Oryzias latipes: one gene and its partners. The protein of the gene in region 1 purifies or fractionates together with the protein of each later gene. This does not show direct contact. Links are inferred from orthologs where the notes say so. Each region holds a gene or a part of one and is shown in the gene's direction. Other genes may lie near its edges.

Evidence for each region.
Region 2: the proteins of ss18 (region 1) and SWI/SNF-related matrix-associated actin-dependent regulator of chromatin subfamily D member 2 purify together in Homo sapiens (affinity purification with mass spectrometry; 4 studies listed by BioGRID and IntAct, counting the BioPlex papers as one, with this or other methods). This does not show direct contact. The link is inferred for Oryzias latipes from reciprocal best matches to the Homo sapiens genes SS18 and SMARCD2.
Region 3: the proteins of ss18 (region 1) and bicra purify together in Homo sapiens (affinity purification with mass spectrometry; 3 studies listed by BioGRID and IntAct, counting the BioPlex papers as one, with this or other methods). This does not show direct contact. The link is inferred for Oryzias latipes from reciprocal best matches to the Homo sapiens genes SS18 and BICRA.
Region 4: the proteins of ss18 (region 1) and smarcc2 purify together in Homo sapiens (affinity purification with mass spectrometry; 3 studies listed by BioGRID and IntAct, counting the BioPlex papers as one, with this or other methods). This does not show direct contact. The link is inferred for Oryzias latipes from reciprocal best matches to the Homo sapiens genes SS18 and SMARCC2.
Region 5: the proteins of ss18 (region 1) and smarcd1 purify together in Homo sapiens (affinity purification with mass spectrometry; 5 studies listed by BioGRID and IntAct, counting the BioPlex papers as one, with this or other methods). This does not show direct contact. The link is inferred for Oryzias latipes from reciprocal best matches to the Homo sapiens genes SS18 and SMARCD1.

The regions. Positions count from the first base shown.
Region 1 is NC_019875.2:25,758,601-25,764,936, reverse strand, and holds the start of ss18 (protein SSXT), read left to right. Parts: upstream 1-2,773; 5' UTR 2,774-2,901; coding exon 2,902-2,967; intron 2,968-3,054; exon of another isoform or gene 3,055-3,164; coding exon of another isoform or gene 3,165-3,185; intron 3,186-3,407; coding exon 3,408-3,484; intron 3,485-3,564; coding exon 3,565-3,649; intron 3,650-4,964; coding exon 4,965-5,121; intron 5,122-6,113; coding exon 6,114-6,336. Other genes in the region: psma8 (proteasome subunit alpha type-7-like), read right to left, coding at 1-121, 242-366, 539-665, 2,013-2,114. UniProt on the Homo sapiens protein: Appears to function synergistically with RBM14 as a transcriptional coactivator. Isoform 1 and isoform 2 function in nuclear receptor coactivation. Isoform 1 and isoform 2 function in general transcriptional coactivation.
Region 2 is NC_019877.2:6,914,882-6,920,622, reverse strand, and holds part of SWI/SNF-related matrix-associated actin-dependent regulator of chromatin subfamily D member 2, read left to right. Parts: intron 1-1,914; coding exon 1,915-2,093; intron 2,094-2,653; coding exon 2,654-2,696; intron 2,697-2,795; coding exon 2,796-2,918; intron 2,919-4,015; coding exon 4,016-4,135; intron 4,136-4,717; coding exon 4,718-4,813; intron 4,814-4,909; coding exon 4,910-5,011; intron 5,012-5,741. UniProt on the Homo sapiens protein: Involved in transcriptional activation and repression of select genes by chromatin remodeling (alteration of DNA-nucleosome topology).
Region 3 is NC_019871.2:5,045,541-5,050,266, forward strand, and holds the end of bicra (BRD4-interacting chromatin-remodeling complex-associated protein), read left to right. Parts: intron 1-46; coding exon 47-167; intron 168-251; coding exon 252-2,035; 3' UTR 2,036-3,085; downstream 3,086-4,726. UniProt on the Homo sapiens protein: Component of SWI/SNF chromatin remodeling subcomplex GBAF that carries out key enzymatic activities, changing chromatin structure by altering DNA-histone contacts within a nucleosome in an ATP-dependent manner.
Region 4 is NC_019863.2:4,303,328-4,309,843, reverse strand, and holds the start of smarcc2 (SWI/SNF complex subunit SMARCC2), read left to right. Parts: upstream 1-2,714; 5' UTR 2,715-2,749; coding exon 2,750-2,860; intron 2,861-3,520; coding exon 3,521-3,640; intron 3,641-3,740; coding exon 3,741-3,826; intron 3,827-3,953; coding exon 3,954-4,035; intron 4,036-5,139; coding exon 5,140-5,232; intron 5,233-5,352; coding exon 5,353-5,422; intron 5,423-5,505; coding exon 5,506-5,575; intron 5,576-5,883; coding exon 5,884-5,959; intron 5,960-6,516. UniProt on the Homo sapiens protein: Involved in transcriptional activation and repression of select genes by chromatin remodeling (alteration of DNA-nucleosome topology).
Region 5 is NC_019863.2:13,903,438-13,909,867, reverse strand, and holds the start of smarcd1 (SWI/SNF-related matrix-associated actin-dependent regulator of chromatin subfamily D member 1), read left to right. Parts: upstream 1-2,956; 5' UTR 2,957-2,992; coding exon 2,993-3,175; intron 3,176-6,430. UniProt on the Homo sapiens protein: Involved in transcriptional activation and repression of select genes by chromatin remodeling (alteration of DNA-nucleosome topology).

The DNA.
Region 1 (6,336 bases):
TCCAGGCGTGGTAGGTTCCTGATGGGTCCGTCTGATACAGCCTGGGGGTGCCATCATAATCAAAGCCAACAATTAACGCAGAGATTCCAAACGGTCTGCGGCCGTTGCTTTGGGTGTAGCGCTACGAAGAGCAAAGATACAAAGACATCAGTTCTGGATTTTTAAAAAGAATCAGGAACTACGATGGAAAACACTATCCACTCATTTGTCATCTTTAATTTAGCAAAATAAAGTTACACACCTGTTTCAGTGTGGCAATGTATCGTGTGATATATTCCACTGTGACTGGATCTTCAACTGTTAGCCTGTGACTCTGACATTCAACTCGAGCTCTGTTTATCACGATACGTGCATCTGCTGTCAGACCTGTAAAAAAAAAAAACATTGGGAAATAGAATGACAACAAGTAAAGATGTTCATGACAGGGAAAGTATAAAAACTAATGTCCCGACAGAAAAATGTCAAAATTAAATATATGTACATCCAACAGATCTACGGCAAATGTACACTTCATACAGAAACCTTTCCTTAGCAGTACCTGCAAACGCCATACAGACGTGTTCATCCAGTGCACAGATTTTGCGGACAGTTCTTTCGTCCTGCAACTTCGCTACAGATTTCTTTTCCACGCCAAGGACAACAATATCTTTGCCTCTGATTCCCACCTGATCAGACGGAAAAACAGAATTCAATGATGTTAAACAATACATTCAAAATAACAGAACATCTTACAAAAGAGATGGTAATGAATATTACAATTTCAAATCAACATTTAAAACTGTTTGGATATTTTACCTCAGGATCTGATTGCTGTTTGGAAGAATCTGATTTTTTTTTTATAAAGATCTCCGTTTAAATGTAACCCCTTGATGCCCATTGATGCAGCTTTGCATCAAACCACTAACATTACCATTATTTAGCATTAACTTGAAAGCAAAAACATTAGTGATTTGTTTCAGAGCCTTCTGATTCTATCCATCCTGGATCATGAATGAGGACATCAGAGAAAGGGCACATGTTGGAGGTTTTGGAGTTAACGTGAGAGAGGCCAGACTGAGATGGTTCAGACATGTCCAGAGGAAAGACAGTGAAAATATTGGTAGAAGGATGCTGAGGTGCCTGGCAAGATGTCTAAAGGAAAACCAGAAAAGAGGTTTATGGATGCAGTGACCAAAAACATGAAGGTAGCTGGTGTTAAAGGAGAGGATGCAAGAGACAGCGTTAGATGGAGGAAGATGGTTCACTGTGGTGACCACTGAAGGGAAAAGCTGGAAGGAAAAGAAGTAGCCAGGTGGTTAAGAACCAACTGCATTGAAGCTTACTTGATTTCAAGCCACTAAGTTGACAGTAACAGATGTATCTGTTTTATTTTATTTTTTTCTGCAACTGTTGATGATGCTTTTTATGACGTTTTATGCCTTTTTTCTGATGAGTTGTAGAACCAGACATATTAAGGAGCAGATACTATATACTTCATTATATATAAACAGTGTCATATACATACTGTAATATGAATAAATTGCCGAATAGTTAAGAAGAAGAAGAGAGGGATTCTGGGTAGCAGGATTATGACAAGTAAGTAAACTGCATCCCAAGACAGTTTCAAACGTCGTAATGTGTAATAGACATTTTGCCCTTGTTGTCTCCACAAACAAGTATGAAATTATACTTGTTTCTAGCAATTTGTGAAATGTTTACCCCGTGAAACATTATCGATTGTATTTTCCTTGCTCAATCAGAACCGAAAGTGTGTCGAGAGTGACACAGCGACAAAATGCTAACCAGTGGCACGTTTTCCCGTTTAAGCTAAAACTCATTTTACCATCCAAACTACAAAAAAGTCTAGTAAGCGGCCCAACAAAATGTTAAGTCGTAACCCGAACTTACATTGTTTACCAACAACGTTAATCAGAACACTTAATGAATTAGTATAACATTTCTATTAGCCGCTAACTAGCTAACACAGACACTGCCACCGTTATCCTTAGCATTAGTTTGTCCTGAAGACTTACCGCAGTGGAACCTTTCTTTACAGCTTCTTGTGCATACTCTACTTGAAAGAGATGGCCGTCTGGAGAAAAGACAGTAATAGCTCTATCATATCTTGCAGCCATCGTGTAGAAGGAAAATCAAACAGTGTGATGGTTTTTGCGAAATGAATCAGCTAGTTAGCTAGAGACGCACAAAAGATTTGCGCATGCGCCCGACCTCTGACCTGTTGGGATACCAAAAAGATTACACCGGACAAAAGTTTTGATTAAAACATACTTTTCTGCGAACACATGCACTGGTGCAAAGATAAATTGCATCATATTTAATTTTTAATGAATAAGTAACCATTCAGTAATGTTAGAATTTTTATCCATTAACTTTTATTTTCTGGTACATCTTGGCACTTAGATAATCCAGAATGGCCGATGTTGAAAAATATTTTAAAGAAAAAACAAATGACCACTTATTAGATCCACTACTATTTCTATGTCTAAAGTTACATTGTATTTTTAAATTATAGCAACATTTATTTTTTGTGAAGCAATGTTCATTGCTATCTGGCATTTTAGCATTCAGTTGGACCATTCCACTTCCTGAAATATGGGGAACCTACTTTTTAAAATCATGTCGAAATAGGATTACATTTAAATTTTAACTAATACATAAAAACAATTTGGATCATATTGTAGGGAAAATTAAATATCGTTTTGGTTCACATAAAAAAAACCTCAATATTAAAAATAATTGTAATTAATAAGACCCCCTCCCCCCCTACACGAACCGCTGAATTTAGAAACTGCATCGTTTTCAGTACGGCTAGTGGGATCTGAGTTCCACCGATTTGTCTTGAGTGCTAGCTTAGTTTTGACTTTTATGCTGTAGTTTACTTTCATCCCCTATTGTATCACCATGTCGGTGGCGTTTGCACCTCACAGGCAGCGGAAAGGTGATATAACAGCCGCTGGAATACAGAAGGTATTGCATCTCTTTTAGCGCGTCTCTTATGGAAGCTACCAGACGTTGTTAGCAGTTGAGATTGACAGTGTTCGTCCAAGTCTAACCGCGGACAGGTCGGGAACTATGTCACACGATCAGAGCGCGGAGAATACGAAACTCTCTTCAGTCGAGACGCCATGTTTACACGAAGCGGATTTAACAGACTGTTTGCTTAAATGATGAATGGAGGCCTGCAGGTTTGTTAGCAAACGAAAGCTAGCCAAGAAGACGAGTCTTTTGTTAGCGCACGCTCTCATCTCACAAACCCGCTTTCCTTTGTTTTGAAACTGCAACAATCTCACACCAAAAATCACAAAAATAGACCCCTACACCAACGACTCACATACTACCCAGCTCTTTGTTTATATTTATCAATTGATCACAGACGTCTTTTAAATGTTAGCTTTTATTTTTTGCAGTTACTTGATGAAAACAACCACCTGATCCAGTGTATAATGGACTTCCAGAGTAAAGGAAAAACAGCAGAATGTTCACAGTAAGTCCTTTAAAAGCCTTTGTGTTGAATGGGTTTCAGATCTGTTTGTTGAGTATAATAAATACTTGTCTTTTCCCCAGGTATCAACAGATGCTTCATAGAAATTTGGTGTACTTGGCCACGATAGCAGACTCTAATCAGAACATGCAGTCTCTCCTTCCTGCTGTGAGTACTCATCCTTGCCCATAGTTATTAGTCTGTCACTTTTTTAAACTGTACATTACGGTACATGCATATGATCCCCTGTGTACTTTAGGTGTCATAGCAGCAATGATAAAATACATATAAAGTCATACATGTATTTAATGAGAGATAAAAAAAGTTATGTTTAGATGAAAAGTAGATGAAAATAACTTTAGGCTGCACACTTATGTATTCTGGTTTATTAATGTATTTTTTGTGATGACTGTAACTACTTCACATGATCCAGCTCTTTTTAGGAATTCGACTGAGGATTTTTTAGTTTATTTTATAGTCTATTTTTTTTTTTTTTAAATAGAATAAAAGAACAAATTAAAATACGCAGAGACTTACTATTGTCACTTCTGTTTTAAAGACTAATTAATAGCTCTTCATGCTAGATCATTGCTAAGGGCAAAACATTAAAAGAGCAGACAGAAGTCTTAAAACAACCACAATAATAAATGTTTTCATTGTAAGAGATTAGGTCACTTGTGTTTTTACACCTCTGCATTTAACAGTTAAAACAAGTTTTTCAGCACTCCTGTATAACTTCTTTGTTTAATTACAGAAACACGTGTTGCTCTTTGCTATAAATTAGGGGTCAGTTTATGTATTTATCCAACAGAATATAAATTCAATTTACCAAACCAAGTCCACATTTGCATAGGAGTATTTGACTAGCGTGATGTATGCCCTTCAAGTTATTCTGGTTGTTTTGTTGATGAAACATCTTTGCTTTTAAAGCTCTCCGTCATACTGAAGTTCAGTCACTTAGACATTTTTTCTTTTCAATTATTAAAAAGGCTATTTGCTACATTCCTTTAATAAAGCCAGCAAGCATCTTTGATTTCATTAAAATTATATTTTAAAAGTAATTTTAAATATCTAGTTGTCTAATATCTACTTTCACCGTATTTAAGAAAGGTTAGAGATAGTTAGAGGGAAGGCAGTTACAGTCTGACTCTGTGAGCTAAAGAGTAACTTTGGTTCTCCTTTCCCAAAGATGCATTTTCATAAAGATTTATGAATTGTTTCTTACATGCCTTAAATTTTTGAAAAGTTTGTTTTTCTTTCTGTTTTTTTTTATGCATCCACATGGCATTGTATGTGGCCACAAGCACGTTTATTAAACGAGGTTGTTTTATTTGGCAGTTGGTCAATGTGTGCCTAAATGTCTTGCTAATCATACGCACATAAGTTTACTTTTACTTGATTTAGCTTTCTTTTTTTTGTTTCTTGTGATGATATGATTTTTCCCATTGATTGGTATATTTGTTCTTTTTTTTAATGCTTTCAGCCACCCACTCAAAACATGCCTATGGGCCCTGGTGGCATGACCCAAAGCGGACCTCCTCCCCAGCCCCCACATGGTCATAATATGCCCTCTGAGGGAATGGTCAGTGTTGGCCCCCCAGCCCCCCATATGCAGAGCCAGATGAATGGACAGATGCCTGGTAAGTCACTAACTCAATATGTCCTCCTCTGTCTTTCTTTCTTTTTCTTTTTTCTCTCCCAGTTTCTGTCTTGCTCAGGTTGCTTAGCAACACCGCAGAACCAAGAGGGAGGTCTTCTGCTAAAGGATGATGTCATTCGTTGGGGTGCTGTGATGGCCTTGAACTTGATTTTGACTTGATACCTTTTTTGTTTTCTTTTTAAGCACAAAAGTATACATAAATCTAAAAAATATACACGGGTATATATTTTATTGGAACTCTTTTTCTGGGTAAAGTTTAACAGATTTTATTGGGGATCAAGTCACTCTCCTAAAAATTACTCAACCATCTTTTTATACGAATTTGATGCTGTAAATATATAGCACATGTTTTCCGTGGACTTTTTTAACTAGTTAGAGAAAAGAACTGCATCCATCAGGGTTGCTTTAAAGGTTATGTGGAATCTCTTTCAAAGGCAAAGACTTCATTTTAAAGGCAGAAAGAGCTGTTTTACTTTAAAAATAGCTTTAAGAATTTGATCGATAACTATACAACTTTTTTCTGATACGCGTTTTAATTTTTTTACAATTGCAATCCAATCTTTTGTTTGCATATTAATGTGTTTAGACTTCCAGCAGATATTTATATCATCATAAACAAAATGATTTTTCCATCTACAGATTAGAAGAAGTTTCTGTAGTTCCTTCAGTGCATTTAAAACTGGCCTAAATTAGAAGATAAAGTAAACATAATTGCTAAAATGTTCATCCATCTGTAAGTTAAACTCGCAAGAACCTTTATGAAATCAAAAAATACAAACTCTAATTATTCCAAAGTTGTAGCATTCCACTAGAATTTTTAATGTAATACGGGAAAAATGGTCATTTCCATTAAGTTTTTATTAGAATAAATCAAACCAAAATCAGGCCACAGAAAAGTTATGTGTAAATTACTGTTTCACTCAATGTTCTTGACCTTCCATAACTATTTTGTGCTTCTTTTTTTTCTTTCAGGTCCTAATCACATGCCCATGCAAGGACCCGGTCCAGGCCCCAACCAGCCTCCAAACATGTCCAGTGGTTCCATGAACATGCCCCCCAGCAGTCATGGCTCCATGGGGGGTTACAATCATGCTGTCCCATCCTCTCAGGGGATGCCGGTTCAGAGCCAAATGAGTATGACCCAAGGCCAGCCAATGGGAAACTATGGACCTCGACCAAACATAAACATGCAGCC
Region 2 (5,741 bases), on another chromosome or scaffold:
GTCAAATGGGTTTAACGTGTCATTGTGGCACCAGAGAACATTAATTGGGGGTAGAGGTTTTAAATATTCTGGCCTTTGTGAATAAATGTACTCTGTTGAAGTGTGAACGGGGTCACGTGGGTGCCCTTGGCCTCCTGTCAGTTAGAGAAAACAAAAGGAAGTTTATCATCACCACCATCTATCCAAAGACCACTTATACCATCCCTGTTCCAGCACCATCTGGGCTTCATTTGGACCCGATTGTATCCTACAAATTAGAACCATCAAAGTTCTGATGTATGTTTTTCTGTGAACGGTTCATAAAATGTCAAACTTACTCACTGTCCAGTCTTCAAAGCACATTTTCTTTTCATATAGGAAATAAGATTGTTTGACAGTAAAAGAACTTTGAATAAATATATTAAAGTCCCACTCGATCCTCGTTGGATCTGCTTTAAAAACCTTCCCAGTGGAGTTTTGATTATGATTATCCCAGTTTTTAGGAAATAGTTTCTGCACAGCAGCAGTGGTTCATTAGACACGTGTGTCCGAGTTGTGGGCGGAACAGTTGAGAGAGTGTAAACACCTGGATGATGGGAAATTGTGGCAGGCTTACTCCACTGGCAACAGCTCCGCCCACCAACAGTTCCTTACAACCCCAACATAATATTTTCGGTGTAACAAAATGGCGAGCAACGTCGGGGCCATCCAGACGTACAGATTTGAGCCAAATGCCTGATTCACAATGATTTGAATAAAGGAAACACTCAAAAACACCATTTTAAGCTTCATTTAATTCATGTATGTCCTCCAAGAACATGTTAAAAACATCAAACAAACATGATTTTCATTGGAATGGGTCTTCAAAGTCAAAATTGAGTTCTCAAGGACATTTGGCAATCACATACAAACTGATTATTTTCTTCCATAAAATAAGCCAACAAATTGTAAATAAAGTGGGGCAAAGCTGAAGATGCTCCATCTTCTGTATGAATTTAGTGGTAGGATTTGAAGCAGATGTTTCCTTTTGTGTCTCACATCCTTGTGTTGGAATCTTGGCCCGTTTCTCACTGCAGCTTTGCTTCAGCTTTTAAGAAATGTTACAGCTCTTGTTTCCTTGGAGTGTTTCATTTGGGTTGAGGTCCAGACTTTTGCCAGGCCGTGTCGCAACCTTAACCGTTTCCCTGTGGTGTGACCTGAAGTCAGCTCAGCTTTGGCTCGCCGACTCACGCTCTCGTGTGCTCTTGGTGTACTCTGATTACAAATGAGTTCATGGCCATCTCAATATCTGCAAGGTCTGCAGAAGCCGTGACTAAAAAACAAAGCAGAATCGAAAGGCCCTCATTGCTGTGCTTAATAGAGCGCAGGAAATGCATCTTTTTATTTGTTTAAACAAAATTCTATGAAGGTTCAATTGTAAAAGTATTTATCTTTACTCGTAAAGTTAAATTGTAGTTCAGATTGACATATTTAAAAAAGTTTGTTCCAATTATTGATGAAAACTCTTAGTTAGTAAACTATAATTATTGTGTTTTTAGTTATAAAAGTTAATAAGCCATAATTAGTCCAGTCTATTTTTATCCAACTAACATCAAACCATACAGTTAATTTTAAGAAAAGAGCCCCAATCTTCTCTTTTTATGTTTATTTTGAAGCTATTTAGGTGGGAAACAAAAATGTAAAAAAGTGTAAATGATTGCTTTAATTGTAATAAATTATCGATAAGAAAGATTTAGACATATTCAAAGTAACTTTTCTTTTGTTTAACAATGTTAAAATCCAAATCAGCTCTGAGTTAGACTGAAGGTTTGTGTTTCTACCAGAAATGGACAGAATGGATCAAACTCAATAGAGATCAGCCTCACGTGGGTCAAACGACACGACACGCCAACTGCTTTTCCCTTTTGTTCATCAAACTGTTCTTCTTTCATCCAGCGCCCTGGAATCCCACCCAGCAGGATGGGGGGTCCTATGGGGGTAATGGGGAGTCAGATGCCCGGTCCCTCTTACGGTGGGGGTAACCTTCCCATGCGGCCAGGCATGGACGCGTCAAGAAAGCGTTTTCTCCACCACCAGCAGCAGCAGCAAGAGGCGCTCGGAAGCCTCAGACGAGGGTAAACGCTGAAGACGATGATGCACCATGAGAGTTTTTGTCTTTACTTCTAAAACAACTGGACGGTATAATTGTTTTGACCCAAAACACAGCCTCATTCTACGCATGAGGATCTCCTGACCGGCCTTTGCCTCCAAACACTTGAAGCTGTTCGGTGACGCCACATTTCTAAATGTTACAATGAATCTGTTGTGCTGCCGTGTTTATTTTCTAACGACATTCTCAGAATTGGAGGAAAATAAGCTGCAGTTCTGGAAGCATCTTCTGAGTTTATAATGACGATCAACTGTGTCCTTTAGTTGAAGACAGACTAGCTCTTGTGCGTTTTTATGAGTTCAGCTGCGGTGAGGAACTACAAGTCCCTCAGAAGAGGACATGTAGGCCAAGACTTTGTTATCCAACTGTGAAGCTGTCCACAAATGAGCTCTAATCGAATCTTTTTGGACTTGATCTTGAATCATGTGTCAGCGTGTCTTTTTTCCTCATGAAAACATGAAAAGTTTGAGGCTTTCTGAGTCCTTTTCTAATCTAAACGTTGATCCTTCTCTCTGTGCGGTTTAGAGCCAAAAGACGCAAAATGGCCGACAAGGTTTTGCCACAGAGGGTACGTTAACACCAACGGCCCCCCCCCCCAGAAAGAATTCAATTTATTTCCTGCTTTTGGATGTTTTGAATCACGACTTTTTACGTTTGGTTCTTTCAGATCCGAGACCTCGTCCCCGAGTCCCAGGCTTACATGGACCTCCTGGCTTTTGAAAGGAAACTGGATCAAACCATCGCTCGCAAGCGCATGGAGATTCAGGAGGCCATCAAGAAGCCCATTATGGTATGTTTCTACAACCATTTTAGGAAAAAACAAGATGTGGAGGGTTCTGACACTTTTAGTAGAACAATTTTTTTTGTCGTTTTCTTCTTTAACTTTAAGTAGAGTGGTCCCTCGCTGCTAACCTTTCAGAGTTTCGCTGTTTTCAGGATTGATTTAGCGCAATTTTTTTCTTCTTTTTTTTTGCAGTTTGTGTTCTGTGCTCTGATTGGCTGCAGACCAATGTCAATCAGTCTCCTCCACGCTATGCAGAATGCGTTCAGCTCGCAAAGATGATCTTTGTTTCCATTCTATAACACTGGGCTTATTTTATATGAAGATTTGAACTTTGAGAGTTTAAACAACAGAGAAAGCTGTGAAAATGTTCATAAACGTCTAAGAAAAGTGTTTAAATAGGGTAGTTAGGGGTTAAAACATCTATAATAATTGTTGAAAATTTGCAGATTTCTTCTGTTGCTATTAGAGCATAACTGCTGCGATAAACGGAGGAAGACTGCACCGATTGAGTGATTTGATGTTTCTTAGTGAGATCACAGATGATCGATTTGGTATTAACAGGCATACTAGTTGGACGTGATCAGTCTTTATGTCTTTTGCATTGTGAGCAGGTGCTGAAGCAAACCTGTCCCTGTTCAGATCCGCCTTTAGACGGATGAAACCAGGTTTGACGCAAAACATTTGATATTTGAGCAGCTTCACTTATTCATCTGACAAAGTCGGATAAATGCAGCAAAGATGTGTGGAGAATCGAGGCCGAAGAGTTTTTGTTGGCTAAAGAAGTGAAATGTTTTGCAGTGTCTCAAGTGCCTGATTGCAACATTATCAAATGGTATTTTAGGTTTTGAAAATTAAAACCAGACAAATCCACAAACAGTCAAGAAACTGTTGTGACTGATTTCAGAAACGCAAAGCAGAAAATGTTTCGAAGCTCCCTGCGAGTCTGAACAAGAGGCTCCAAACGTCAAAGACACCAAAAGCCCAGATCTTCCGATGGATCTGATAAACGCCAAACGTTTTGGATGGATAGGTGGAAGAAAGACAAAACCCTGAAGCTCTTGAATGAATCTAAATCAGCTTTTTGCTTCTTTTTTATGATGCAGCAAAAGCGCAAGCTGAGGATCTACATTTCCAACACTTTCACTCCAAGCAAGCCCGAGGGCGAGGAGTCGGAGAAGGTGTCCTCCTGGGAGCTGAGAGTGGAAGGCAAACTCCTGGAGGAAGTGAGAGACTCGTGTTCTTTTGCTCTTTGGCCATTATTTGAGCGGTCCGGTCTCTGCTCGCGTTTCTGAAAGCGTCAGTTGGCCCGCATCCTTGGCGCAGACCTCGCGGCCAGATGTGCGTTTACAGCTTTCCTCATCCCACCCCACAACTGCCTCCATACGCCGGAGTTCATGCTTTCTGCCGGCTTGAAACCATCGCCCTTTTGCATTCCTCCAACCGAAACACCCCCTCCCTCCTAAAATTGAGCTCGCTCTGTCAGCCGTGGCCCCCCAGTTTTTTTGTTTTTGCTCCTAATGTTCCCCCCCTCTTGCTCGCTGGTCCAGGCATGTGTAGGAGCACGGCGTGGACTGACAGCCAAAAGAGAACGGATGGCAGAGGAGAAATGAAAGGGGGCCACGCTGAGCAAACAGATTTGACGGAGGGGAAGGGGGGGGCGGGCGGGTTGCAACAGCCTTTTCTACTCAACAGTTTGGTTCCTCTTCCCTGATGCGGTCAGAGCCCAACAATGCAGCTGCAGACTGACACCGCGGAGCTCAGGAACGCTCGGCAGTCACGCAGTGCTGTGTTTCATGTGTTTGCAGCCCGGCAAGCAGAAGAGGAAGTTCTCATCTTTCTTCAAAAGCCTGGTGATCGAGCTGGACAAGGAGCTCTACGGGCCGGACAATCACTTAGTGGAGGTAACGTTTTAAGGACGTTAACACCACACTCTTCTTTTCTTTTGTTGACTTTTCTGATTTGTATTCCTAATTAGATTGGATATTTTTCCCTTTCAGTGGCACAGAATGCCCACCACCCAGGAGACGGATGGTTTCCAGGTCAAAAGGCCCGGCGACGTCAACGTTAAATGCACTCTTCTGCTCATGCTTGACCATCAGGTGGCCCTTCATGTTTGCAATTCACTTTAAAGCCCCACTCTATCTGTATTTCCATCATTCCAAGCGGTTTTTGCAAAATACCTGTCGATTTTTAAGACGTAGTTTCTGCAGCTCAGGACGAGTGACTGTTGATATCCCAGCATTCCTTTGTTTATACTTTCTCCCGCTAGATTACAGCTCCTCGCAACACCAAGCTAACATTAGTGTAGCAAAAAAAAAAAAAAGACTGTGAGCAATATTGTAGTTATCCAGCTTTACAGCTAGTTGTTATCTATTCCTGATTCATCAGAAATTCTTTAAAAAATGTCCTCCATTCTGAGAAAAATCCAACAAAACATGATTTTCATCTGATCCGATAAAAAGTCTCCAAAGACCCACTCAGATGAAAATCGAATTTTCTTTTTTTAACACATTCTTGTGGCATTTTTCTCGTGATGGAGCACATATGTAAAGAGAGTTCAAATTAAAAAAGACATCTCTGAGTATTTCTTTATTCAAATGGTTTTGACTCAGGAGTAGACACAAGATGCAGTTTGAAAAAGATGGTGTTTGTGACGTAGAAAACACGCTGGGCGGGGCCACAAGCTCCAGGCTCTGCTCCATTCCCATGAGGCCGCGTGCAGACGGTCAGCGGGAGAGCGTGTAAACAGACGACTGTTAGCGGAAGCAGGGCTGCTCCGCGCTAACAGAGCCACAACTCAAAGGCAAAGAACTCCTGCCGCTCTGCAGA
Region 3 (4,726 bases), on another chromosome or scaffold:
CTGCCGCCCCGTTTGTGGTGAACTGATTTTGAACCCACCGCTTTCGGCATTTAAACCCGAGCAGAGACTGGGCCCCTCGGCAGAGATGGTGATGATCGACAGGATGTTCATCCAGGAGGAGAAGATCGCCCTGAGTTCGGACAGGGCTATGGCCAAGGATAAACCAGGTACGCCTGCTGGCTCCTCCTCCTCCTGTTGTGTCGGTCAGCAGTTATGTAATGGCTGATGGTACTTTGTGTGTTTCCTTGCAGAGGAGTTTTTGGCAAGTGTGCGAATGTTGGAAAGTGTCTCTGTGCCGACGGAGCCCCCCTCAGTGAGTGGAGTGGCCCCGATTGACCCCCCTGTCCAAGCACCTGTTGCCCCTGCTTCAGCGCCTCCTTCATTAAACGTCGCCCCAAATCCTCCGCCTGCATCTGCTTCCGCTCCTGTTCAAGCTCCTGCTCCGGTTCCGGCGTCGACTCCCACGCCTCCTTTCCCCCCTACCAAGTTGGTCATCAAGCATGGTGGGGGTGGGGCATCTGTGTCCTGGTCTACCAGCTGTCCGTCAGTGGCTCCGGCCAAACCCGCTTCTGATCCTGTCAGCCAAAGCTTCAGTCGTGCTCCCACCTTGTCGTCGTCGTCGTCCTCCTCCTCGCTTCCCTCGGCATCCTCAAACTCCCAGGAAGCAGACGACGACGACGACGTCGCTCTCCCTCAGCGAACCAGCAAGCCGCCCATCAAGACCTACGAAGCTCGCAGGAGAATCGGTTTGAAGCTGAAGATCAAGCAGGATCAGACGGGTTTCAGTAAGGTGGTCCACAACACCGCTCTGGACCCGGTGCACACGCTGCAACCTCAGCCGAGCAATCAGGCCACGCCCCCGCCTCAGGCTCCGACCCAGTCTGAAGCCGCTGTTGCAGCAGATGCAAAGCCCCACCCTTTATCATCCCCTCTCACCACGGTGATCAGAACTCAGTCCCACGCGTGCACAGCTTCCTCTGGCTTCTCGGTTTCCATGACGACCACTCAGAGCAACCCCCCTCTGAGAGGAACTGCTTCCTCAGGTGGAGCCCCATTGTCGTCGTCCTCCTCTTCTTCATCCTCTCACTCCTGGCCGTCGTCCACCTCCTCATCCTCCACTCAGGTGAACGGGACGCTGGATCACCACAGTGTGGGCGGAGTCAAACACAACCCCGCCTCCGCCCCCACCCCCTCCCAGACAACGTGCCGCCTTCCCCTGCGGAAAACCTACCGGGAAAACGTAAGCCCGTGCGTCAGACCCGGTGTCCCAGGTGGAGGAGATGAAGGTTTGTCCTACCCCAGAGCAACCCCCTCCCCCCCCAGGCACGGGGCCTCCACCCCCCCCTCAGAGCGGACAGTCATAGCCAGCGTGAAGGCGGACAAAAAAGACAGGGAGGCTTCACGCCCCCACACAGAGTCTGGCCACGAAGCTGGACATTTTGGGGGGGCGGTGCAGGGGCTGGACAAAATGAATGAGGTGTTTAACCATGGCATCAAAACCACGCAGCACCATCATCACCCCCTGCTCTTAGACAGGGAGGGGGCCAAGGAAGGTCGCGCGGACCAAGAGGTGGAGGTGCGGAAATACAAGCGGCTGGGTGGGAAAAACAAACACGTGACCGGAGGGACTTTCAGAATGGACCAGCACGCCCCCGGGCCTCCCTCCCCAGAGTCTTCCTACCCTCGAGACTCTCTGCTTCCTGCCAAACGCTGCAAGTCAGACTCCCCCGACATGGACAACGCCAGCTTCTCCAGCGGCAGCCCGCCGGACGACTCTCTGAACGAGCACCTGCAGTGCGCCATCGACAGCATCCTCAACCTGCAGCAGGAGCCGTCCGGCCGTCACATCAAAGGGGGCGGCAGCAGGCCCCATCAGCACCAAAGTCAGCGCGCGGGGGACCTGGCCGCCTCCTCCCACAGACCCTCACTCCCGCCCGCTTCCTCTGCCTCCTCATCATCCGCCTTGGCCCAGCACCCTCAGGTTGGCGGTCGTGGCCACAATGGCAGCTTGGTGCCCCAGACTCAGAGCAGATAACAGCCCCTCAGCCCCAGGCTGGACTGACGGGGGGGTTGACAGGAGGCCGGGCAATAGTCACAAGTAGGCGGGGGGGGGGTCAAATAGTATCACTGTACTATTCTGCCAAGCTGTGTTGTCCATTTGAATTGTCCGGGCAGTTTGAATTTGACAGACAAAGGTTCCAGCAGGACAGTCGAACGCCGGCGCCTTGCCCCTCCCCTTTTTTTCCCTTTTTCCCCAAACGAGGCTTTTCCTTTTCAAAGTTCAGTCATTTTCGCTTCTCCTTGTCACTATTTATACATTCCTTCCATGTGGCCTTAGCAGCAGTCACCGTTCACAGATGTCCCGGCCACAAACGGCGTCCCCGGTGAGCATCGGGCAGCTTGTTTGAACCGTTCCCAAGGCGACAGCAGACAGCAGTTTCACCTGGAACAGATCAGTAAATACGACAACTCTTGTGTCTTGCATAGTCTTATCACAAAGAGACTTCTGCCTTACCGAGGCACACAGTAAATGCAATCCACCGTGTGGTAAACCTGACGGTTCACTTCTCATCGTTTACTAGCAAAAAAGAAGATGCAGATGGCGTCAAAAGGTGTTGAGGAAATATGGAATTATGAAATTGTTTTAGATCTTGGACCCTTCCCTCCTGCTGTGGAATTGCAAAAATAGAAAATCAGTTTTGTTCTGCTTCAAACATTTCCCGGGTTCTTGTTTCGCAGCCTCACCTCTGCTGTCGGTCGGTCATGTCTGATGGACACGTTTCCGCCCGCGGGTCAGTTTCCTGTCTGTCTCAGCTCCGTCACTGTGCACCCGTCTGTTTTTTATTCTAGCTCTGGTGGACAATTCAAACCCAAACGCAGCACAAGCATCCAGATGAGGGGAAAAAAGGAACAGTAATAATGTAAAAAAAAAAAAAAGAAAGAGGAAGAAACAGACCGGAAGAGAATTTGAAGTATAGTATTACAGATTAATTTTGTATTGTATTTATTGTGTATAATGACACTTTTTAAAAAGAAATGTACATTTAGTAAAACTGTAAATTAAACCTTGTTTCTTTTATGAAAACGTTGGTGTTTGCTTTCTTTTATTCTCCAGTTTAGATCAGTTTGACCTTAAATTTGGAGGATCCACAAAAGCCCCATAAAAAGCAAAAAATGATCAAAACTGGATTCTTTTTAAACTCCATGCCATTAGAATAGATAGTTTGAGATTGACAGAAGCCATGGAAATTTTTAATCTGACTTTGAAACAATAACGATTGCATAGCATGAGGTTGAAGTGACTGTATGGACTTCTAATCTAAAAGCTTTAAAAATGTTCAGTGTTATTTTTATACAGATAGCTGCTTTGATTTCATGAAGTTATCTGATTTAAATGTGTTAAATGTCAAAGCAGCACCTGAATTTGGTTTTTGCAAAAATGTTCTCTAATTTGTGATTTTTCTTCAGAAATTTTCTTAAATTATTACTTTAAAATGTTTTGCATCTAGACAAAAACTCAAGATTATTTCTGTCCTTGGTCAAGTTTTGCTTTTTTCAGTCTCTTTTATTTTTTCTCTCTCTAGTTTGGTTTAGTTTTGCTTTTTAACCCCAAGAAAAATAAGATGATGGTTCAGTTCAACATGGAAACACATTTTTAATAAATCAAGATTTTAGTTTTTAAGTGTTTTTTACATTTGACATATTTTCTTTTGCATCTTGAGAACTTGAAGTACTTAATGAATAGTTAACCCTTTTGCTATCATAGGCACTGTAACATTGGGAGTTGGGTCATCTAGACCCACTAGACAGTGCTCTGAACCTTTTTTCTTCAATGATTTGTGATCTTCACTGGTGTCCATGGATTACATGAAATCTTTCCACCTTTATCCACCTTCGTCATGGTAGGGAGAACACGTTAAAGTAAGGGTGGGGTCATCTAAGATAGCACAAGGGTTAATTGACTCAAATTTCTTAACATTTTCCCTTTTTGTTTTATTTTAAATATTTTGCATCACGGCTCTTAACAGACTAACAAAATCTCACATTATTCCTAGTTATTAGTCAAGTTAAGCTTATACTCTGAAGGTAAAATATTGACTTTCTGGAAAAACAATTGTGGGTTTATTTAGTGAAATTGTTGTTTTTAACCCCCTTTAGATAAAAGTTCAACAGCTCAACATAAAAACAACTTTTTAAAATCAAGCTTTTATTTCTTTTAACTAATTTTGCTTTTGCACTTTAAGAACTTTATGTACTTAATGTATGGAGTTAGACTTTTTAGACAACACTTTAGTTGAATTCTGCTTTTTTGTGTGTGCAAAATAAAAGAGAAATTTCATAAATGTATGTAAATTATTTTCCTTTTTTAGTTTTGCATTTTTAGTTTCACTTTTAGAACAGGTGTCTAGGCGGCTCTTTTGAGACATTTTCATGCTTTCATTTAGTCTAGTTTTATTTTTTGCTTCCTACTCCAGAAAAAAGAATAACTCATGTTTGAGTTCAGTTTTCTTTTTTAACCCTTGTACTATCCTAGGCACTTTAACGTTGGCAGTTGGGTCATCTAGACCCACTAGACAGTGCTCTGAATCTTTTTTCTTCAATGATTTGTGATCTTCACTGGTGTCCATGGATTACATGAAATCTTTCCACCTTTATCCACCTTTGTCATGGTAGAGAGAACACGTCAACGCTCATCTTGACCCCATAGGATAGCACAAGGGATAAT
Region 4 (6,516 bases), on another chromosome or scaffold:
CTTTTGGCGGTGGCAATAGTGGCAGTTTTATCACGCTAAGTCGCGCTCAGAGTAGTCAGCAAAATCAAAGATAGGAAAAGTGCGATATTTGACACAACGCACGCAAAAACATGCATTTTGCAAACGCAAAAAACGTTTTTGAAAGCAAAAAGAATTTTGAAAGCTAAAAAAAAGTTTTTTAAAGCAAATAAAAATTGAAAGCAGAAAAAAATCTCAAAGCAGAATCAAAAATTATTGAAAAGCAAATATTTAATATTTTCACTTGCAACTTAGAACTTAGTTTTGTGTGCAACGTGGTGGCAGAAGTATCACTCCATATGCTTTGGCCTTGGCTTTTCAAAATTTCTCTGCTCCAGAAAGTCAAATGCAGTTTTAAAAAGAAGGCTGCGACATGTTGTCCTTGAGGGCTCAGCCACACTCACCTCTGGTATTCCTACTCCATCCCATTCATTCATTCATTCATTCATTCATTCATTCATTCATTCATTCATTCATCCATTTTCTATACCTATTTATTCCCGTTTGGGGTCATGGCGTTGCTGGGGCCTATCCCAGCTACTGTAAAGTAAAGGCAGGGTACACCCTGCACCAGAGGTGTCAAACTCCAGGGGTTGCTGTGAGTAGTGAGTGAGCAGCGGCTGTTTTTCTGTCTGACTGAGCACCGTGTTAATGAAGCATAACTAGGATGTGCAGCAATCACATCAAGACCTGCACCGATACGATGGACGAGTCGTGACCAGACCCTATGAAGACTCTTAAATATAAGCATATCTTAACCGTATGAGTCCTGCAGTTATGTAGAAAAGAACAATTTCAGACGAAGAACATAAAAGCATTTTTGCTGCATCTTCATCTGTCTGATCTGGTTTTGGATGTTGGCAGCTTGTTACATTAAATAGGATTCCATACCTGACCAAGAAGAATAAAGGAAAAAACAAGAGGACAGCATCCTTGAACACTTGTGTACTGATGTGTTGTTTCGGACAGCAAAGGAAATGTTTTTTCAAGGTGAAGAAAAGGATCTCATCCTGGCTGCTATTTAAATCCCAGAAGGACGATACTGTCAATTTAATGAGCTTCACATTGTGAAAAGTCAGAGTTTTTCAAGTTCACTGCAGCTATGATTTGTGCAACTTCTAAACAATTGACAAAATAATTATACTTATGGTGTAGATATTGTGATATGAAGAAATGGCGACTCTTTAAAGACCTCTGTGATGTGAACGACGCACAAGTGGAATCATGTCCACTTTGTTGCCTTAATGTAATAAAAAAAACACAGACAGTATTGTTAAAACATCAATCATGTTAACATCACTCAATACTTTTCTTATAAGGTTTAGCTGAGCTGTAAGTATTGTCTGTCGTTTCAAAGAAAAACAATCTTTGGAACTTAAGCATTTTTGGAGGTACTGTTTTTTAAGGAAACACTGCCACAGGACACTTACTGCTTTCATATAACCGATCATTTAAGTCCTGATTTATTTTTCTGTTAGTACAGAGCAAAACATTTCACAGACACATCTGTTAGATGTCTTAATTGTGGCTATTTCAATGGATATGCATCATATTGACATCAATGCCTAGAGGCCTATCAGACCTTTTAGCAGACGACTTTCACACAGCTAATCATGTCACGGTCCCAAAATATAAACCAGCTGCCATTTTTCTTGATAAATAGGGTAATTATATAACATATAAAATAATACAAAAGGTGCATTAATGGTGGTTTTGTGTTCTTTAGAGGACGTCTTTCAAACTGTCAAGAATGCACCAGAGGACAGTATTCGTAAAGATGCATACAACAAGATTTTCAGTAAAAAAAGAACAATCTGAATGTGTCTAAAAATGGGATTACTTTGGTGAAAGTGACTGTTCAGACTATACTTGTTCAAGCATATATACTGTGGTTAGCAGAGGTTACATGGGTAGAAGCTCAGCCTGGTTTCTAGTTTGATTCCAAAGGACGTGCAAGCATTCAAAGCTACTGGTCAGTCATCACACATTGAGCTGGGGCCCTATGATTTCACAGGCGTTTGACACTGGTGACCCAATTTCAAAAGGTAACCCCTGCACCCACAACCCATCTATGACGTATCAGCCAGGCTTCCCATCTGATCCAGATGCTTTCTGGACAAGAGAGGCCCTTCATCAGTCCCAGGACGACCAAAGGTGGTTTAACATGTCACAGCTTGAAGGTTTCTTCATCTTCATCTCTGCCATTAGTCACCTTCCTCGCTGCATTCTGCACAGTGTCCTGGAAGATGTCAAATGACCAATTTTCCGACCTCGCTTGAGATATAAAGATGTTTTTAAAAGAGATATGAAGGACTTCCAGATAGATCCTGCTACTTGGACTGCTACTGAAGCGACAGAGGGAGATGGGACACCACCTTAAAGAGAGGTATCAAAGTTGTTGTATCAGACAGATTCTAGAAATTCTACTATGGAAAAACGTTTAATTTATTTTGGAAAACCCTGAGTCTGGGGGATCTGCTTCATAGGTTGGGAAGACTTAGTCTAAAGTAGGTATGGATGACCAACGCAAAGGAGAAATGCTTTTATAAACAATACACTGTTTTTGTTTTTTAACAATGGAAATGTACAAGGAAGGAAGCCAACATTCTCTACACCATTCCGCCACCTGCTGGATGCGGGCATTCATTACAGGACACTTGTTCAAGCAGCTGCAGGGACTAACTGCGTCCACTAGGAGGCGCGCAACACCGACAGTTGTCTGCAGGCAAAGATGGCGGTGCGGAAGAAAGACGGCGGCCCGAATGTTAAATATTTCGAAGCATCTGACACCGTTTCTCAGTTTGATAATGTCCGCGTCTGGTTGGGAAAGAATTACAAAAAGGTACTGTGGGCTTGTTTTTGTGCGCATGCTCACAGAGTTCTCCTTTTCACCCTCAAATGTGGGCACTTACCCAGTGGGCAGAGGCAGTGACAAAGAGAGGAGGGAGGGTGCTGCTGCTGCTGCTGCTGCCGCTCAGCGTCCAGCTGTTTGGGATACAAAAGGATGCTGAGCAAACAGCTGCAGCACAAGCGCGCGCTTCAGGCGTTCTGCGGATACACGTGACTGCAGATAAACTGCCACAAAGGCAGCGCGCGACTCTTACTCGGTGGACGGATTTGTTTTCTATAAAGAAAATACATGACTTTAGCCTGCTAGCTGGCTAGTTAGCTGCTCGGCTAACGGTGAAGCAGCGCAGATCCAGATGTTGGCTCAGAGGCACGTCTGTCTTGAATAACAGCTGGCGGGCCTCAACTAGGAGCTCTGACTTGACGAAGACCTCTCAAGTACTAATCATGAAGTAGACTGTTATTATTATTATTATTTTTACAAATATTTGAATGATTGATGTTTTTAATTAGAGCTCTTTTTCATGGGTGAAAATAAAAGCACTGACATTTCCAGAGTTTACGTGAATGCGGCATATCAGCCATAGAACTATGTCTACCAGAAATGCTGTGTTTTAGTGTTTGGTGTATTCCTAACTTTGCGTTTTGTGTCCAGTACATCCAGGCTGAGCCTCCCACCAACAAGTCTCTGTCCAGCCTGGTGGTCCAGCTGCTGCAGTTCCAAGAGGAGGTGTTTGGCAGACATGTCAGCAACCCCCCACTCACCAAGCTGCCGGTATTTGCTTCTCAATACTCATCATCTTCCTCAATGTAATGATGCTTCACTTTTTGTCCTCTGTAACCTATTATTTGAAGCATTTTCCCTCTTTCTGCAGATGAAATGTTTTCTGGACTTTAAGTCTGGGGGGGCTCTGTGTCACATCCTGGCTGCAGCCTACAAGTTCAAAAGTGATCAAGGATGGTAGGGGCTTCTTTCTAGCGGATGTTTTGAGGATTAGACCTGTTAATCCAGTGAAGAATCAAAGGTCTCAACTGGATTTTGGCCGGGTTTGAGTTTCGTGTGTAACTCCAGTCTAATTTCCTGGTAGGCGCAGGTTTGACTTCCAGAATCCATCGAGGATGGACCGAAACGTTGAGATGTTTATGACGATTGAAAAATCTCTGGTGCAGGTGAGTTTGTTTCAGCAATCGTTCTTCATGAATAGTTACCTTCTACACAACTTGCAAAAGTGTTTATTTTCTAATATCTTCAAATCTCTAAATTATTATTATTATTATTAAAAACTGTCAATTATTTACCTTTTACAATTAGGTTTAATTTAGAATTAAGGATTTGATTCAGTTTGAATGAAACTATTTATGTGTATTTATATTCAGAAAAACGATCCACGTTTATTGTTTTTTATGCAAGTCTGAATTAATGATAAAAAAAACATTGAGAGATTTCATGTTTTTGTTTGGTGGCTTCAGAATTTTTGAATATTTGCAGAACCAGTTTGTTTATTCTTTAAAGTTCCACTCCAATGAAAATTGTGTTGTAGTTGTTTTTTTACATGTTCTTGTGGCATTTTTCTGATGATGGAGCACATAGATAAAGAAAATTGAGATTAAAATTGAATATTTCTTTACTCCAATATTTGTAAAATACAAAAAAAAAAAAAGCAGTTCGAAAAAGATCTTGTTTGTGACGTAGAAAATATGCTGGCTGGGTCAAAATCTTCCTGCTTTGCTCCATTCTGATGCATCCACCTGCAGACAAATAGACCCATGAACGTCTTTGTTCTCCTCGCCTGAGCTGGAATCTGGATCAAAACTGGATGGCTGGATAGCTCTGATGTTGCTCACCATTTTTGTTGCACTGATAATGTTAGGTTTGGCTATAAGGGGCTGAAAGCTAGCAGGAGAGAGTGTAAACAAAGGGATGATGGGAAGTAGAGGCAGGCTTACTCCCTACAACTCAGATGTAAATTTTTAATGAACTCCTGCCGCTCTGCTGAAACTATGTCCTAAAAAAATGACACTTGTTTTTAGATTTTGGCCAAAAGGTGCATCATCATAATTAGAAGACCGCTGGGAACGCTTTGAAAATACATCAGAAGATGATCGGAGCAGGATTTTAATGACAAAATCTTTGTGATGTGACTTTCGTTGTCCAACCCAAGGACTTCAGGGCTCGTGCAGTGTCTTTATTTGCAGAAGCAGAGATGTTATGCTGAGAGGAAAACAGCATTTACATTGTAATGGTCATGTGTTTTTTAAATGTACTCCTTCCAGAACCACTGTCTGTCACGACCAGTCATCTACCTGAGCTCTGACATCGATCCAAAGCTGCTGGGGAAACTGAAAGACATCATCAAAAGGCATCAGGTGTGTTTGTCATGTGAATGTTATGCCATACACCTCAAGTAGGTGTTGCTTCATTTTTAGGGCTCCTATGGGTTTAAACCTGTGAATACATATGATTTACACTCTTTTCCTGATTTGCAGGGCTCAGTGGCGGAGGACAAATCAAACAGCTCCCATATTGTGGTTCCCATCCCTGCCAGTCTAGAAGAAGGTGAGGACTTGGAACTGGACTGCTGGATGGATGTTTCTTCTTCAACATGCTATTCTAACTCCAACCCCTTTTTTATCTTTCAGAGGAATGGGTGCGTCCTGTGATGAAGAGAGATAAACAAGTTCTCCTCCACTGGGGATATTTTCCAGACAGGTTGGGTTTTTTGTTGATGCTCGTGAGCCGGTACCTCCATGAAATGCACCTGAAAACTCCTTCTGTTACATTTGAAGTTAATCTGAGTCCATGACTGGAGCCGTTACCTGCATAAACACTAAAGTATCACGTCTAACTAAGCTCTGCACTGATCTCATTTGGTAATAATTGCAGTGTGTCTTAAACAGAAAGTGATTATCACATTGTGTATCTTACTTAACATTTCTGGACAACAAAGGAAACAGTCTACCTGTGTTTTTCTCCAAACGGCGTGATTGGATTGGAATTTTCTTCCTCCCACTGTGCAGTTATGACACCTGGATTCCAGCCAGTGAAATCGAGGCTGCAGTGGAGGATCCTCCAACTCCAGAGAAGCCCAGGAAGGTATTTTTTTTTATCTTTCTTTGAGTTCTTCATCTCATTTTTTAACATGTTAATAAATAATCTTGATTTGTGCTAAAAGGTGAAGTGTTTTTAGAAATGTAATCATCTTAAAACGATCATGGTGTTCACGTTACATCAGCATGCAGGCAGAGAGGTGTTCAGTCAGAAACCAGCTGTGCCAGCTCTCCTACTTCAGCAGCTGAGTTTGGTCAGTAATGTTCATCATAGCTTCACTTCAACTGTGAGAGACAGAATGGAAAAAAAACCTAAAAGAATCCAAGAAACCACATGATTTGATCTATAGTGAAATATTAGGTAAATTCCCCTGTAAAATACATATTTATCTCATACAAGCAAACAGCAATTCTGTTCTTCGCAGACTTGTTACTTCCTCTTTAAGAAGCTCTTCTGTCCTACGCTGGCTACCTGTATTAAGGGCTCCTGTTTGAACTGGTTATCTGTAGAAAAGACATTTGTCCACAACCTCCAAACTCTACTATGGCCAAGACCAAACGGCTGTTAAAGGACACAAGAAACTAAATTGTAGATCTCCACCA
Region 5 (6,430 bases), on another chromosome or scaffold:
GCTATGAAAGCAAAGGAAAAGGACTGCAAAAGTGAATACAATAAGGGGCCTGAAGTCGTGGTACTTGTAATCAGACAGAGATTGCATCATATTGGTGGATATTCATGTTATGTAAAAATGTATTGTTTTGATCAATTATTCATTGCTTGAAAACTGCTTCTTTTTGCTGCAGTCCTTTGACCAAACTAAACCAAAACAGGTCTCAGTCTCCACTGGGCCACTGACAAGATTTTGTGCAAAAATAAATCATTTTTTCTGCTATTGCACTACAGCACGTCTTTTATAAGGGTGTGTGTCAGATGAGTCACATTTGTGAAATGAACTTTTCCTGTCAGATCTTTCAGCTAAATTAGGATTCTTGTCCATTTGTCATGGATATGCCAGCTGACACCTCCTCTGGGTTCCACTTTACATTTGGCTCATTAAAATGATTAATTGTTGTCACACAGTCAAGTTTTGTTTTACTGAAACACACTGTGGCAGGCCCCAGACTCAGGCCTGATCATGCTGGCTTTGCATTTGTTCTTTTTTTTTCAATAAGCCACTGGAGGTAAAGAAAAAGATGAACCTGATCAACCTCACAGTATATATTATCCTGGAGATCCCCTTTCTTCTTCACATGTTATCATACAGACCATCACCTATTAAACACAAATATATTATGCAAACAGAGGAGATGGCACGTTATGTAGGGTTTCATGGGTTATAATTGGCTAAATGAGGTATAAAACAAAAAAATGCTCCGAAGCCCCATATCACTGTTTATTCTAGGTGTTTACCTCAAAGGGAGATTTCAGAGGTTCGACGCCTGTTTTCTGCTTGTCTGGTCTAATGAAAGGATCAAAAATTAAATTAAAAATAATTCAAAAAAGTGATATGCCCTTTTAAAAACCCATCATGGGAACGCAATGGGACTGATTTACATCCTTTGATGAACAGAAAAAGGAGCTTGTTCATTAATTTATGAACCCCACTGTGATGAAATGAAACAAGGTGCCAATTTCTAAGAAAAGCTTAAAAGGCAACTTTTAGAAGATGAACTTGTGAATTTGAGTTTGCAAAAACAAAAAAAAGCTAAACATTGTTGTCATTCAGTCGGCCTATACAGTTATTTTTACCATCAATGTAAAGTAAATTTCCACAATGTCTTATGTCTCTGTTTTCATTTAAAACTAGATAATTCACTGAATACCTCAGCTTTGTAACACAAAAACATCTGATTTTCTAAATCAATTATAATAATCTCTGCTCATGCTCTGCTCATGTGCATTTAACATAAAAACAAGAAACTTGATTTTGGTTTGATTTACCTTTATTTTCAAATACAAAATAAACACAATAAAGTGCTCAAAGAGGAGTGGCTAGAAGAAAAATATTATTACTTTCCACGCCCGATATGTTCGATTTTTTACGCAAACCCACATATTAAATATATAATAACTACTCACATAGACAATAATGAAATAATGAAAAATAATAAAAGAGGACCAAAATGTCATGAGGTTATGATTGAACCACATTTTCCCAATGGGCTTTTCATATTCTAACTGGATTTATTTTAATTGTGTAATATTCTTAATCATTCCTCCATGTTATTCCACAACTTCACCCAAAAGCAAAAATGCACATCGTTTTTTGTGTTGTCCTTACACAAGGTTGTTTGATGTCATTTTTCTTTCTGCAGTACAAAAGAAGTAAAGACCCATGAAATTAGGTTTACTCTGATTCTCGTATATACTAGCAGAAAACAGAAAGCCCAAACAAACAGGCATCACAAAATACCAGGTGTTGTGTTGTTGAAAAGAAAATATTTTCTACTCCAGATATTGTGTTTATCTCAACATAGTCAAGTTCTGGACTTGTAGAGACAAAAAGTGTCACATGTTACTTAGCAAAATGATGGAAAGAAACAATCCTGTAGCTGAAAACGTCATCATCAAGATTTCTATTTTATAAAACCTTCTAAAAACATTCAGAAATAACCTGCAAATATGTACACAAATAGAAGTTAGTTAAAAACATACATGATTGTTTTTTTAAAGGATATGATACAAAAATATGAATAGTTACATTAATAAAAATCAAATGATTTTCTCATTTGCAAAACAGTCATATATTATGAAAAATGAAAAATATCAGCAATCCACTGTTGAACCAATTGATTTTGTACTGTAGCCTAAATTAAAATGAAAACTTTTATTTTTAAATGTGTTCTTTAAAAGTTAATAATGTTTTGGGGCATTTTGTTTTGCTCTAAGTTTTATTTTGTTCGATAAGAGAAAATTGAAAAACAATGTATTCTGTTTTGATAAATGAAAGACATATAGAAGGCAATAGAACAGATTAGTGAATTCACATGAAAAGAAAGAAGACAATTTAATAGCGTCCTAAATTACTCCAATATGGTTGGCCTACCCGTTGACTTTATTCTTGTGCATATAATCATGTAAATTGAATGCTGGTTGTTAGGACTTGTCAGGACTGTATTACTCCAGCTAATTAAAATGTTCTTTCTTTTTTTATTTTAATTGTTTTATTTTCTACAGACCAGACAGATTTTTTCGTGTTTTTAATATATATTTTAAACTATATATGAATAATATTAATACATATACATGTATATATTGATATATATTAATACATATTTTAAACTACATGAACTATACTTTTATAGTTTTTCTTGTAGTTTTCATGAGTAGCTGCCCAGCCTGTTTGTTGTTTTTTGCTCTTGTATTTAAAAAAAATAGCACGAAAAACAAAACAAAAAAACTTCACGAAAAATACTAAAATATTATAAAGGAACATACTAAATGTTTTTTTTAAGAAATAGCCTATATTACGCCTTCATACCCCACAATTATCCTTTGTCTCTTAATGTGGGCAATCGTGCAGTGTCAAAAGAGAACAGTAGAGGGCGCTATCGCAAAGTGAACGCCTCAGTTGCTCTCGCGTTAGTTCCTTTGCTCCACCGGAGGCGACATCTAGTGAGGAGATGGCGTCCAGAGGGGGGTTTCAGTCTGCACCGACTGGTGGTGGTGGAGCTGTTGGACCTGGACAACCTGTACCCGGTGCTGGACCAGGCATGGGACCCGGGACTCCCACTGGAAGAATGGGTCCATCTTCGGCTGGTCAGAACCACATGTACCGATCTCCAATGCCTGGGCCTGGGTACCCGGTGAGTTATCACTCCATCTTTGCGTCAATGCTAGCCGGTCCGCTAGTAGAACAAAGCCACTCATCGCTGCTTTGTCGCCAATGGCTAACATTAACCCCCGTCCCCCTACAGGCCCAGTTCAATAGAACTTAAGAAACCCATTAAAAGTAATCGACTTTTAATAAATATTTTTTTCGAGCGCTCTGGCGGACTTTTATGAGTTTATCATGTTTGAATTTGCTAAACCTCCCGCTCGCTAACAGAAGGTTAGCTTACATGAAACTGTGCTACCTCGCCTGCTAACGCTAACTAGTAACTAGTTACTGTGTTACGCTCGTCGTAGTTCTCTAGTTACTGATTGTGTGGAGTTAACTGGCATATACAGATTGATTAAATCTATCAACTTTTATGAATACGTCTCGTTTTGACGGGATCCATTGATTTCCTCTGGGAAATCTGAAAGTAAAAAGTCCGCCTCTCAGGAACCGTACTCTGCGAAAACATCTGGCTGCTACCGTCATGTGAGTCTAAATTCAAATTTGCTGAAAGGTAATTTCCGAAAACCCGCTTGTATTTGTCGCGTCTCTCTTTGCTGACGTTTAAAAATTGGCATTTGATTTGACTTCTACTTAACGGAACCATTGAGTTTTTGGTCAGGTTTTAGGTGTAACTCCGCCGTCGAGAACTTCTACTTGTTAATAATACAACGCTTGGTAATGTTTTGCTATTAAAGTACACGCAACATAGTTTACTCATACATTGCAGTTGTTAAACTTAAAAAGGGGGGGGGGGGGGGGGCATGGTAAACTTAAAAGTCCACCCACCTACCTACCAACCTGAATTAATTTTTTTAAAATAAAGACATGCACCCAATTTTGAGAGGAGTCTTCATACTTTTAACCAATTACAAATGAGGTAAACTCAGAATTTACTTGAGGGCATGATAAATATTTTTAGAAATTGAAGATCTTAACCTTGAAAAACTTCAAAAAATGTTTTATTTTTATAAACTAGCAGGGAATGGAGAAGTATCTTATTTATAAATCTATCAAGATCGTTTGATTCTTAATTGATGGAAAGGTGGGTGGTGATGTCATTGTCTGTATAAGAGAACTGGACTGAGCGAGTCTGACGTCACCCGTAGAAAGAAAAAAAAAACGCCTTACTTTCAGCTCCAGCAAAATGAATCCATCAGTCGCTGTTAGATCTGCAGTACACTCATCCCCATGTTGGAGCCAGACCACCTAAGTAAACGGTGATGAGCCTGCGTCTGTAGGAGTCGACGCTTCTATGGCAACTCCTGTCGCCAATCAGGATTAAGCTTTTATCTTAGTCCACATCTCTGCCACTGAAAGCAGGCTCAGGAGAGTCTGTCAATTAAACATTTCAATCATTAGAGGCGGGGTTTACACACGTTCGAGCAGGTACTTCCTATTTGACATCCGGGGTGGGGGTGGGGGGTCACTTAGTCCAGTTCTATTAGGCGGGGATGTTTTGGTGGAAACAAATTGTGGAACTTGAGGGGAAAGTAACATGGCAGTGAAAAATGATGAGGGAAGTGAGCTGTTAGTGGCGGGCTAACATAAATTAAAATGGAACGTGGAAGTACAGCTAGCTAGTTTGGTGATTCAAATTTTAGTGTGGAGTAGTGTACGCAGCAACCTTTGTCACCGTTTTCAAGAAGTTTAACATTAATGCTAAAGATGTTTGTTGTGTTGAAACAGACTAAGAGAAAGAGTTTACATTTCTGCAGTTCTTTTAGGGTTTTAAAAGTGTCCTAGATGTTCAGACTTCATATTTACAATACCTAGACCAAATCCAAGTTCTTCCCCCACTTCTACTTCTCCCTACACCTACAGTTAGCCCTCCAAATGGAGTGTCATATAAAAATAGTCATTTAGACGTCACTCTGACTCGATGAGGTCATCAATCGTCGTCGGTCAGCCACGTTAGCGGGTGGCGATCAGAAGTAAATAACGTGGGTTTTAGAACATTAAAAAGCCATGCTAAAACAAAAAGTATTTACTTACATTTACGTGTAAACTTCTGTGCTTCAAGGCACACCCACTTGCAGAGATACGTTTCTCTTTTGCGGCACAGAACATGCGGAACACCTTTGCGTTGGAGGGCTCCGTATCCCTCCGCGCAGTGAAGGTTTTCCATTCCAAAAACTAACACCCCTACCCCCAAATGCCCCTACAATTGGAGGGAAAGAGAGAAGCTGGAGGGGTAGGGGAAGAATTTGGATTGAACCCTAGTGGGTTTATGTTGAAGTCTGTTTATCTAAAAGACTTTCGATGAAAAAATGTTTTTCACTAAGGCAGTGATTTGGCTACAGTTGTTTATTTTTGTGATTTAAAGACCAATCCCACTAAAGGATACTGTTGACTGTTCCATCTAGGCCTTCACGATAAATGGCAAATTTCTCGTTATCGCGATATCAAGCTGTGCAATCCGCATATAGCAAAAGACAGCGAAAATCGCAATAAATTGTTACTTTAAATGTGCTAAAACAATCTTATGACAGCTTGTAATTATTTAGCAAATCAAATAAATCTATTTATGGATGAAGCCTTTTTGTTAGAAGCTCGCCTCCCATGAAGACTAGTTTCATGTGGAAAATAATTTTAGTTATGTTGACTCTTATTTAAATTAAACCACAGTGAAATGCAAATGAGGATTTTGGTTGTTTTGCTATTTGTTCATAAATCGCAAGTTATATCGTCATTTCAATATTGATCACTAATATCGCATATCGTGAGTTTTCCTCATATCATGCAGCCCTAGTTGCATCTTTGTCAAACCTTTTGAGCTCTTTTTGTATTTTCACAAGCATTCAGTCACAAGAATTGCACACAAGTATAATGGCAGAATTTACTGCCATAATTGGTGAATGCTCTGAATTTCTCTACCGGTACAAGAAATATAAAAACAACACCAGGGTCTTTCTGTTACAAAACATTTTTATGTTCTTTGTGTTCCGGCTCCAACAGTAAAATGATCCTGAAGTACATTGTCTGTATTTGATTCCTAAATTGACTTTGACAAATCTGCAAGAACTTGAACATTTAAGAACGTCACTAAACTTGAAACAGCTCGGTGAAAAGATGTTACATCTTCTTTTTCTCTCCTGTATCCTTGGCAGCTCTCCCTCACACAGGCCTCCTTTCACAACACAATCTAAAAAGAGGCTTCATACTCTGAATATTAGAGATATCCACTTGTTCTTCAGCAGACCAAGGTCATACTGATCTACAGCGTAGAAAGCACTAAATG